3 linked regions of the Lonchura striata genome follow. The protein of the gene in region 1 purifies or fractionates together with the protein of each later gene. This does not show direct contact. Links are inferred from orthologs where the notes say so. Each region holds a gene or a part of one and is shown in the gene's direction. Other genes may lie near its edges.

What was found.
Region 2: the proteins of TSEN15 (region 1) and CLP1 purify together in Homo sapiens (affinity purification with mass spectrometry; 4 studies listed by BioGRID and IntAct, counting the BioPlex papers as one, with this or other methods). This does not show direct contact. The link is inferred for Lonchura striata from reciprocal best matches to the Homo sapiens genes TSEN15 and CLP1.
Region 3: the proteins of TSEN15 (region 1) and TSEN54 purify together in Homo sapiens (affinity purification with mass spectrometry; 4 studies listed by BioGRID and IntAct, counting the BioPlex papers as one, with this or other methods). This does not show direct contact. The link is inferred for Lonchura striata from reciprocal best matches to the Homo sapiens genes TSEN15 and TSEN54.

Annotation. Positions count from the first base shown.
Region 1 is NC_134611.1:27,829,179-27,832,921, forward strand, and holds the start of TSEN15 (tRNA-splicing endonuclease subunit Sen15), read left to right. Parts: upstream 1-1,300; 5' UTR 1,301-1,307; coding exon 1,308-1,463; intron 1,464-1,919; coding exon 1,920-2,001; intron 2,002-3,298; coding exon 3,299-3,434; intron 3,435-3,743. UniProt on the Homo sapiens protein: Non-catalytic subunit of the tRNA-splicing endonuclease complex, a complex responsible for identification and cleavage of the splice sites in pre-tRNA. It cleaves pre-tRNA at the 5' and 3' splice sites to release the intron.
Region 2 is NC_134608.1:53,134,734-53,138,476, reverse strand, and holds CLP1 (polyribonucleotide 5'-hydroxyl-kinase Clp1), read left to right. Parts: upstream 1-1,283; 5' UTR 1,284-1,369; coding exon 1,370-1,975; intron 1,976-2,676; coding exon 2,677-3,348; 3' UTR 3,349-3,490; downstream 3,491-3,743. UniProt on the Homo sapiens protein: Polynucleotide kinase that can phosphorylate the 5'-hydroxyl groups of double-stranded RNA (dsRNA), single-stranded RNA (ssRNA), double-stranded DNA (dsDNA) and double-stranded DNA:RNA hybrids. dsRNA is phosphorylated more efficiently than dsDNA, and the RNA component of a DNA:RNA hybrid is phosphorylated more efficiently than the DNA component.
Region 3 is NC_134621.1:4,689,585-4,693,327, reverse strand, and holds the start of TSEN54 (tRNA-splicing endonuclease subunit Sen54), read left to right. Parts: upstream 1-1,107; 5' UTR 1,108-1,123; coding exon 1,124-1,152; intron 1,153-1,336; coding exon 1,337-1,489; intron 1,490-2,554; coding exon 2,555-2,618; intron 2,619-2,758; coding exon 2,759-2,842; intron 2,843-3,743.

The DNA of each region.
Region 1 (3,743 bases):
GCTAACACCATACTTTTTAAGCAGCCAGAATGGCTGCTCCTTTTACCACAAAATTCCTTGAATTAGATTGGCCCAAATATGACTTCCTGTGCCTGCAAACCACGTACAATTGATGTGTTACATACATATGGACCAATTTTCACTGATGCTTTATTAGAGAATTGTGGGAACTCAAAATGTCTCTCAGACATTTTTAGAGGTTCCAGGCCTTGGTCAGAAGCATTCTAGACCCTGGCAGACAACTGAAAAACAACTGTGATTTTGAGTTTGAGCCATGGAATGAATTACCAACTTTGGAGGTGGAACAAGCAGTCACAAAGGGTTAGATAGTATAGTAAAAGTAGTTACAAAGTAGAGGGGAATTTTTTTTAGTACTGTACAGGGGGGTTTTAACACATGTACAGGGGGGTTTTCACTTTGTACATGGGGGTCAGAAGTTCTAAGATGGAGGAAAGTGGGCTGAACCCATCCTTCTTCCTTCTTCTTCCTTACCTCCATGTTCTTGGTGATGTTGGCACTCACAGATTGGTTTAGAGTAGAAAAACACTTGGTAACGTAGGTAGTAGGTATTGGGGAATAATTGTAAACATGTTATACGTAATATATCTTATAAAAGATAGCAGCAACCCTGGGCGGAGAGAGAGATGAAGAAGACAGCAGATAGAGAGGATGTCAGGGTGTGTGTGTGCCTCTACCCAGGCCGCTGATCAAATAGCCGCAGTCCAAGAACATAATCTGTTAGATAACTAGCAATAAACTGCCTTGAGACCGAACAGCTAAAGCCTGCGGAGTTTTTCTTTGGAAGCACGGGTTGGAGGAGGAATTTCACCACCACATGTGGCCCTAAAGCAAGGCCGGGGTTCTCACAGAGAATAGCCACTGTTTAAAATTTATCAGAAGAGTCACCGAGGCAGATGGTGATGATAAGCCAGAGCTGGGACACTTGGCATTAGGCAAAGTCAGAGATATTTCTAGTAAAGCAGTCCAAAGTGCTTTTAATGGCAATACCTTGAAGGCATGTCCCTTATGCAGTCTAGCAAAGCTCTGGACATTGCAGGTTGGTAATGCTTTGGAGCTTTTGGGAGAAGGGACCTTGAAAGGAATATATGTGTCTATACACACACATATTATATACATATGTTTAATTTGAAGGGTTCAAAGCGGCGCCTTTGGCCGCGGCGGGTGGCGGGGCGGGGAGGTGGGAACGGAGCGGAGGCGGAACGGTCGGGGCGGCGCGGCGGTTTCCGGGGAGCGCAGCTGCGCGGCGCCGCCCGGAGTGAAGCCGCGGTGCACACGGGCGGGCGAGCATGGCGGCGGCGGCCGGGCCGGGCGGGAGCGGCGTTTGCCCGGCCCCGGGGGGCACCGATCCGGGCCAGGGCTCCTCCGCCGCCGGGAGGGGCCCGGGGGCACAGGGCAGCTGGTCGGGGGCGGCTGGCGGCAATTGGATCACGGCTCACCCCACGGTAGGCCGGCGCGGGGTCCCTCGGGGGTGCCGCTCCCCCGCCCGGCCCTGCAGGATTCTCCCCTCGCGGCTCTCGAGGTGCTCTCCCCAGGAGGGCCCTGCGGGGAGATGCCCATATAATCTGTTATATTGGGTTTGTCGAGGGGGGCTCGGCCGGTGGAGTATTTGGGGAATGCTACTGCCAGCAGGGGCGGAGGTTATAAACCATGGGATCCCAGCTGGGAAATGTAAATACCTTAAACTTCGACTCCATTTTTTACCACACCGAAAACATGGAGGTGTTTAATTTGGCCATCATCTTATGTTGATGTGTTGCAGCAGAAATGGGTAGAATTATTTACCCAACATGGGTAAAATTCTACAAAGCTAGAGCTGTTCCAGAAATAGTGGTGACTCCTCTTGTGTTTGTTTATTCTGCTTACTTTTTTTATCACCAACATTCCTCTTTGGGTCTCAGTTCACAGAAATGATGTCACTCGATGTATCTGACAGCACTCAAGTCTACGCTGCCTTTTTGGTATACCTGGACCTCTTGGAAGGTAAGTGGGGGCAGTGACTGGATCCCAATGCCCTTAGGAGCTGTTAAATTCATTGTTTGCACTGGGACAGGACCTCTCCTTCCAAAGTCCTTGGTGCCACTTTTGAGACCTTTTGTGCTTCAGGTTTCTGTCCTCTGCCTCCCTGGAGCCTGTGCAAAGGTGAGGGCCCCTTTCATCCAGCACTTCCAGGTGCAGGGTCAGGGAAAAGGCAGTCAGCATGGAAAGAAAAGCAAAAGAGGAGTAGGGGGAGGAAAGGAATGTAGGAAGGTGAAGTGGCAAATTCACTGGTTGAGCTTTTAATAGTCCTCACTTGTAGATTAAAGTGAAGTTCCTCAATCACTGTGTTTCACTAAAGTCACCATTTAGCACATGGCTGCTGTGTGCTGGCCTGTTTTCTGGAAAGGGCAGTGGTTCCTCTAGCAAAAAAGATCATTTGCAAGTGTGGTCGCAGTAACTAATAACCATTGTAGTAATTGTGTAACAATATAGTAATTTATACAATAAATTGTAGGTGTTGTGCTCAGGGCCATGGCTTGGTGGAGGATCTGGCAGTGTCAGGTCACTGGTGGGACTCCATGATCTTGGAAAGCTTTTCTGGCCAAAATGGTCCTGTGAAATCCAGTGTAGTCTGCTGGTGTCTGCTCACAGTGGAGCAGGGTTATGTGATATATAAACTTCTGCCTGGCTTCTTCCAAGTTGGCTTTATTGAAAAGGGGCTGTGAGTAGGCAGCCAGCCAGCCTAAGAAAAATATTTCAGTTTTGCTTGGAGACTGGTGTTTCTCAAGGTCAGGGATGGGAGGGATTTTACAGTCCAGAAATTACTGCGTCTGTTGCTGTTACAACTCTGAAGGAAGTGCCTTAATAGACTTTAAAAGAAGATTTTTGTAGTTGAGCAGCAAAAGCTTCATCCTTATCCCTTCAGCAGGAGGTGAGAACTGTGTATGATCATTAACCATGCTTTTAGCACCTGCTGCTTCACAGATCAGGGTGCTGAGTCAGATGACTAAAGCTGTGTGGTTTTATCTTCTTTTTGCCTTTTGCAGAGCAGTTTTGTCAGACAGCTCACTTCACCACCCATCAGTGCAGCTCTGGAGCCAGCAGGCTGCTCCTGCTCCTTGGGTTTCTTTAGCAGGATTGCTTCTCAGGAGGGGAGTTTGGCAGATGAATGGAGTTTTCTGTGAAGAAAGGGAGGGAAAACAAAACCTTAGATGTTAACTTAGATACTGCATTTGTTATTTGACTGATTAAAACGTGTGTTTTGTGTTCTGCCCCTCTCATCCCCAACGGACCTTTCCAGGGAGGAACTGGCATGAGGTGCAGCCGGTGGGCGTGGCAGAGCTGCAGCTGGTGTGTTTGCATGCCCGGGCCAGAGAGCAGGAGGGGCTCCAGGTGATGGTGCCAGTGCCTGCACACATCCTGATCAGCCACGACAGGTGAGGTGTGCTCAGCGCTTGTCTCGGCTTCCCACTGACAGAAAATGGAGCACAGCAACATTTTACAGGCTGGTGATGGCTTGGTCAAGAGGGGAAGGAGGAGCAAATAGAGGAATATCAGAGGAAAGCAGCCTCTCAGCCCGTAAGCAGAGTTATTTTGGGTTCTGCAGACACACAGGCAGCTTGGAACATTAAGGAGACCTCAGCTTTGCATCAGTCTCTGCCTTGGCCTGTCTGGAAGTGGTTCTTGGAGGTCAAGCAGAAACTGATGCCCACTGATAAACACTTCCTGTTGTCTGGAGTTGCATA
Region 2 (3,743 bases), on another chromosome or scaffold:
AAGGTGCGCGGCGGCAGGCGGGCGGCGGCGGGCAGGCGGCGGCGGGCCGGGGGCGGCATGGCCGGGGGCAGCGCCCCGGGGGGCACCGCGCAGCCCCCGCACAGCCGCTCGCAGGGGAAGCAGCGCAGCAGCGCGCCCAGAGCCGCCGTCCCGCCCGGCTGGGCTCGGGGAGCTCCGCCGGGGCCCCCCGGCAGAAGGAGGTGGAAAAGGGGGGCGGCCTGCGAAGGAGGAAGGGGGGCGGTGAGGGGGGACCCCCTCCTCAGCGTGCCAGGTGTGGGCGCTGCACGAACCGAGCTGGCTGAGAGCGGAGTGACACCGGGGCAGCGGGGACACCGGGGGGGGGGCACCGGGGACCCGAGGGACTGCGGGAGGAGGGGGCGTCCCAAACTGGGTCTAGGGTCTCTTCTCGAAGCGTGGGGGTCCCCGGGGAGATGATGGGGGTCCTGAGGGGGAAAACTGCGGGTACCGAGCGGGGAGAATGGATGATGGGAGTCCCGACGGGAGATGATGGGGGTCCTCACGGGGTCGGTTGTGGGTCCCGGGAGGGATGGCGAGGGTCCCCGGGGGGCGGGAGGGTGCTGGGGAGATACTTGCGGTGGCGGTGAAGAAGGACGGGGATATCGCCGTGGGGAGGGGGCAATGTCAGGAGCGCTGGGGACACGACGGGGGGCTCGGCGGGGCTCCGGGGGTCTCGGGGGGACACGATGGGGGGTACCGGGTTCCGTGGCTTCCCGGGGGCCGGGGCCGCTCACCGCCCGGCGCTCTCCCCGCTCTCCCCGCTGCCGCTGTCCCCGGGGCGGGCGCGGGGGGGCCCTGCGTGCCCGGGAGCCGCATCACGGCACCGTGACTCATCCCGCGGCCGTGACGTCACCGCCCGCCACCGCCGCCGTGACGTCACCGCCCGGCCCTCCGACGTCAGCCCGGCCGCGGCCGCCGGGGCGCCTCCCGCTGCCTCCTGTCGCCCCGCGTCCCCGTGTGCTGCCTCGTCCCCAGTGTCCCTCCGTGTGCCCCTGTCCCCTCATGTCCCCGTGTCCCCGCCGTGAGATGTATATGGGGGGGGGCGGGTGTGCGCGTTAATGTCGTGCGAACGTCATGTAAACGATCCTGGGACTCATCCCGAGGGATGAAGGGGGGAGAGGGAGAGCCCCACTGTAATGAGATGCAAACTCGAGGAGGGGCCGCGGGCTATATGCAAATGAGATGCAAACTAGCCGCAGAACGGGCAGGACGTGCCCCCTCCCCCACGTGACCCCGGCGCCCCACGTGATCCAGGCAGCCCGCGCTCCCGGCGCGCCGCTCTGACGTCACTTCCGTCGCGGCGGCGGCTGCGGCCGGGGGACGCCAGGCCCGGGACCCCCGCGTCGCCGTCATGGCGGACGATGGCGGCGAGGAGAAGAAGCAGGTGGCCAAGTTCGAGCTGGAGCGGGAGACGGAGCTGCGGTTCGAGGTGGAGGCGGGGCAGACGGTGCAGCTGGAGCTGCTGACCGGCATGGCCGAGGTGTTCGGCACCGAGCTCACCCGCAACAAGAAGTTCACGTTCGACGCGGGCGCCAAGGTGGCCGTGTTCACGTGGCACGGCTGCACCGTGCAGCTCAGCGGCCGCACCGAGGTGGCCTACGTGTCGCGGGATACGCCGATGCTGCTGTACCTGAACACGCACACGGCGCTGGAGCAGATGCGGCGCCAGGCCGAGCGGGAGGACGAGCGCGGGCCCCGCGTCATGGTGGTGGGGCCCACCGACGTGGGCAAGACCACCGTGTGCCGCCTGCTGCTCAACTATGCCGTGCGCCTGGGCCGCCGGCCCACCTTCGTGGAGCTGGACGTGGGGCAGGGCTCGGTGTCCATCCCCGGCACCATGGGCGCGCTGTACATCGAGCGCCCGGCCGACGTGGAGGAGGGCTTCTCCCTGCAGGCCCCGCTCGTCTACCACTTCGGCTCCACCACGCCCGGCACCAACATCAAGCTCTACAACAAGGTGAGCACGGCGGGCTCGGCCTGGCTTGGGCACGGCCCCGGAACTCCCCGGGGTTTCCCTGTGCTGCGGGGCGTCTGAATGCCCGGGGTGCTGTGTGGGGACAGCAGAATGCCTTTTAAAAACAGCCAGCCACCCCTTCCCAGCTGTCGGGTCAGGGTGGGGAGGGAGTCCAGAGGAGGACACGAAGGTGATGAAGGGAGCTGGTGCACTTCCTCTGTGGAGACGGGCTGCGGCAGTTCAGCCTGGAGGAGGACAGTTTGTGCCCTGACTTCAGAGCAGTCTTTCCATCCTGGGAGCCTGCAGGGAAGCCGGAGAGGGATTCTTGTCAGGATCTGGAGTGGTACGATGGGGTGGAATGGGTTCACAGCGAGAGGAGACATTTAGTCTGGATATGAGAAGAAATTATTTTACTGTGAGGATGGTGAGGCCCTTCAGGGTTGCCTAGAGAGGCTGCGGCTGCCCCAGCCCTGGAAGTGCCCAAGGCCAGGCTGGATGGGGCTGGGAGGAACCTGGTCTGGTGGAAGGTGTCTCTGCCATAGGGAACTGGATGGGCTTTAAGATCCATTCCAAGCTAGACCATCCTACAATTCCACCATTTTGCTCTGGATGGCTGTGCGGAATTGAGGCCTTGAGGGTCCTGAAGGAGCTGGGGACAGCGTGGGGACACGGGTGCCTCTGTGTGACCCCTCCTCCTCCCACAGATCACGTCGTGCCTGGCCGACGTCTTCAACCAGCGCTGCGAGGTGAACCGGCGGGCGTCGGTGAGCGGCTGTGTCATCAACACCTGCGGCTGGGTCAAGAGCTCGGGCTACCAGGCGCTGGTGCACGCCGCCTCCGCCTTCGAGGTGGACGTGGTGGTGGTGCTGGACCAGGAGCGCCTCTACAACGAGCTCAAGCGGGACCTGCCCCACTTTGTGCGCACCGTGCTGCTGCCCAAGTCCGGCGGCGTGGTGGAGCGCTCCAAGGACTTCCGCCGGGAATGCCGGGACGAGCGCATCCGCGAGTACTTCTACGGTTTCCGCGGCTGCTTCTACCCGCACGCCTTCGACGTCAAGTTCTCCGACGTCAAGATCTACAAGGTGGGCGCGCCCACCATCCCGGACTCGTGCCTGCCGCTGGGAATGTCGCAGGAGGACAACCAGCTGAAGCTGGTGCCGGTGACGCCGGGGAGGGACATGGTGCACCACCTGCTGAGCGTCAGCACCGCCGACAGCCCCGACGACAACATCTCCGAGACCAGCGTGGCCGGCTTCATCGTGGTCACCGGTGTGGACCTGGAGCGCCAGGTCTTCACCGTGCTGTCCCCGGCTCCGCGCCCCCTCCCCAAGAACTTCCTGCTCATCATGGACATTCGCTTCATGGACCTCAAGTAGGGGAGGGACGGGATGTGCCCCCCGCCTCCTCCTTCTCCTTCTCCTCCTCTTCCTCCCTGAGCCCCCTCCTTGTCCCCCCAGCGCGGTGTGACCCTTTGGTTTTATACTTTTTGTACAGTTTGCTATTAAATCTGGAAGCCTTTGCCGCTGGTGAGCGTCTGCTGAGGGAGGGGTTCCCGAGGGGAGCGGGGATTGCCGGCCCGGGCTCCCCGCGCGCCGGGCCCGGTCCCGGCCGCCCCCTACGGCGCCCACTGTGGTACGTCCCGCGCACGCGCAGAGGCTCCGGCCGTGGCCCCGCCCACCGCGGCGTGAACGCGCACGCCCGCTCCTCTGCCATGCGCATGCGCGCCGCCGCGGCCGGGGCGGGCCGGCGGGAGGCGGCCAATGGAGGCGCG
Region 3 (3,743 bases), on another chromosome or scaffold:
CAGCAGTCCAGGTTCCTGATGTCAGTTTGTAGGGCTCCCTTGGGTCTATCAGGGCAGCACAAGTTTGAGGTGGGGACAACTTCGGTGGGGGGTCCTTGTCTCCTCGTGTGCCATGGAGAGGCACTGCTGGCCAAAATCACTTGACCCCCTCACAAGGTGAAGGCTCAATTCAGGGAGAGGAAATAATGAGGCCGGAAGCGAAAATTAAATATTTGCAATGATTTAAAATGGAAAATGGAAGGGAATGGTTTTTACATTCATCTCCTTTTGTTGGCATCTTTTCAAAGGGCTTTTATTGGGAAACCATAGCTGGAACCAGGGATTCTAGTGGGGAGAAAAGCTGTGTTTTTCCTACTTGAGGCTCAGTGCCTCCTGTGAGATATCCCACAGCAACAGGAGACGGGTTTGAGGTGAAACTTGAACTTTTGGTGCGTTTCCCCATCAGATCTGTCCATGCCTTCCCTGGCAGCCAGTCCAGCCATGCTGGCAGAGGTGTGAGGCCCCGCTGGATCGCTGCACACTCCAGCAAAGGCACCAGCCACTGCTGGAGCCTGAGCCAGGAGAAATAGTGACACCACTGAAGGGACAATCCTCCTGCCCCAGTGGGCAGGACACAGCCACTTCCAGACTGGTCTGGCTGGTCCCATGTGCTTCCAACACCCATGGCAGGGCACAGCCTGTCAGTGATGCTAGGGAAATGTACTGAAGAATTTATTGAATTGATAAGATTTTAAGAATTGGTGAGAATTTAAGAATTATTTATATTATAATTACTAAGAATTTATTAATTAAGAATGTTTTTCTTTGGGGAAATGTATTTAAGAAAGGGCAAAATGCAGTGAGGAGGGGGAAAACGTGATAGAAGGTCCTGTGACAGCATGGTTGGGGGAAAGAAGGGAAGGACGGGTGTTCCAGGTGCTGCACTTCTCCCCAGAAACCGCGGACAGAGCAGATATCCGAGTCTGGACCTAATATTAATTAGCAATAATTTAGCTGTTTGTTTTTCCCCCCGCTCCCTGCCGGTGCCCGGTCCTCCGGGCCGCCAGGGGGCGCGCTAGCGGCGCGGCCCCGCCGGGCGGCGCTCGCGCGCGGCGGCGGAAGGACGCTGGCCCGGCGCGTGCCCATGGAGGCCGGCGGGGCCCGCCGCCTCAGGTGGGGCGGGCGGGAGGGGAAAGCGGGGCGGGGAACCGGAGCTGCGGGAGGGCGCGGGAGCACCCGGGGAGCCCGCGCATCGCGGATGGGGGAGGCAGTACCGGAACCCATGCGGGCGCCAGGGCGGTACCGGGGGAGCCGCGGTCCGCTCTGCCGCCCCTCAGCACGCCGCTGTCGCCCGCAGCACGGCGGAGCAGCCCGAGGCTCGCCAGGCCCCGCGGAGCCCCCGCGGGCAGAAGGATTCGCTCCCCGACGGCTCGGCCCGGCAGGCCGAGAGGCTGCGGCGCTGCTGCGAGGAGCAGTGGCGGCTGCTCTGCGAGGAGCGCCCGGAGCGGCCGTAAGTCCATCCCTGGGAGCTGGGAATGGCTTTGCCCCGTGCGGGCAGAGCGCAGCTCGGGGTCACGGGTGGGAGCGAGATGTGGTAGCAGGAGGTGTTGGTCAGCGCAGTAAAGCCGCCCGCAGCTCTCCTCCACTCAGTGCCCGTGCGACCAGCCTGGCTGCCCCCGAAGGAGCGCAGGGACATGGTGGCACACCTGTGGCTTCAGAAAGTCCCTCACAGGGCTCTTGGTTTTTATAGGTGCGTCTATAATCCTGTAACCTTTGCAGGTATGAGCCACTGCCGCCTTGGGCATGATCCAAGTTACAGAGTGTCTTGTTGATGCTCCTGTGTGGCCTTGTGCAGATTTGACCAGGTGTCAGTGTCCCTGGTTTATCAGTTTTGGTGGGTTCAACAGTGCTGCCAGACTTTGGTGCTTATCACTTGGGAGACATTCACACCTCTCAATGTACACCTTCTCTGCTTGGCCTGCAACTATTAACTTTTCCCTGTGAGTTCCCATGGGTGGGGTACAGTGATTTGAGGATGTCTTGGCAGCAACCGAGTAATTGTATGACACAGAATCGCAGAATGGTTTGGGTTGGAAAGGACCTTAAAGATCACCCCATTGGACTCCCTGCTATAGGCAAGGACACTTTCCACTGCTCAGAGCCCCATCCAACCTGGCTGTGAACACTTACAGCAATGTGGCAGCCACAGCTGCTCTGGGCAACCTGTGTTAGTTCCTCAATATCCACATATCCTGGCTTAGGCTGTGCATCTCCAGCAAGCTGCTGTAGCCTGTGGACATGTCTCTGTGGTGCTGACTGAAGACACTTTTAACTGGCTGGTGATGATAAAGTGTGCTGCTAGACCCAGAGGATGATGGCTTTCTAAAGCCTTGTAAAAATGCCACCTGGAAACCTGCCTTTTTGACACCTTCCTGAGCTTGTTTTGTGTTGCTACACCAGCAGCTGACTGTAGACCACACTAACAGTAACAAACTAATCTTTAACCTACTCAGGGTTAACAAACCTCAGTCTTTAACCTTCTCAGGGTTAACAAACTAATCTTTATTCTTCTCAGGGGGAATCTGGTGAAGGCTGAGTGGAAACCGGAGCAGGGCATTGTGGAGCTGAAGTCCCCTGCGGTGAGTGCTACAGAGTGTGCTCAGTGCCATCATCTCCTGCTGCCTCACAGATTCTTTAATTTGCTTCTTGCAAAGGGAGGGAGCCTGGCTGTCATTAGGGAACAGCCAGAACCCATCAGGGATTTGTGCTCCTGTTCCAGGGAAAGTTCTGGCACACCATGGGGTTCTCGGAACGAGGCAAACAATGTCTGCTGCCCGAGGAAGCTCTGTACCTGCTGGAGTGTGTAAGTAGGATGAGGCATAACACCTGGTTCACAAGGAATTGTCTCTTTTAGTGTGTTGCTGATGGACCTGTTTGTCACCAGGCTATGGGTTCCGTACTCTGAGGCAGCCCCTGTGTCACTGACCGAGTGTGTTAGTTGGATCTGTGGCCAGCTCATTGATCTTAAGCAGAGACCTTTGGGGCTGCTGATTGGGATTTCTTCCCAGTATGTATGGCAGAAATAAATTTAATTGTGGCAGACAGACTAGTGAGACCACATTGTGTTCAGTGCTCCTCTGCTTGCAGAAATGCAGCATAAGGCTCAGCTGGATTTCTTTGCTGTAGAGAGGGGTTTTTTTGGTCTTTCCAGAATTGGTGCATTGATCTAAAGGGAACTTTTATCCCTTAGCAAAACAGATTGTGAGTGTCTGATGCCATCTCTTAAATCTTGGCAGCAAAGATGGGGCTTTTTTACCCCAGGCATTCTGATAAATAGTTTGTAAACAAATTGATGGCAATAAAAATCAGTCAGATGCTGAGTACAAAATGCCCCCAAAAGCAGAAAAGGTCAGTGAGATACCTTCAGCCTATGGCATGGAAAAGGTTTCTAGGGTTTTGTTTTCTTTATGAGTAAACACCGTTTAAAAATATAAAAAGGAGGAAAAAGAGGTGTAGCATAAAACAGCCTCCTGGAGGTCATTTGCTATTCCCTGGGAAAGTTATCTATGGGATCTCTGTGTCTGTAAAGGAAGTAAATACTTCTGAGGAGGCACCAATTGATGCCACCTGAAACTGCCATTCATTCCTCTGCTCCAGTTCTCAGTTGTGCTGGTCATAAGTGCTTTTGTTGTTGGGCTGTATCCTGAATCACTCAGATCATCAAAGTTAATTTATCTCTCCAAGCAGTGGTTATTTTAGCAGCT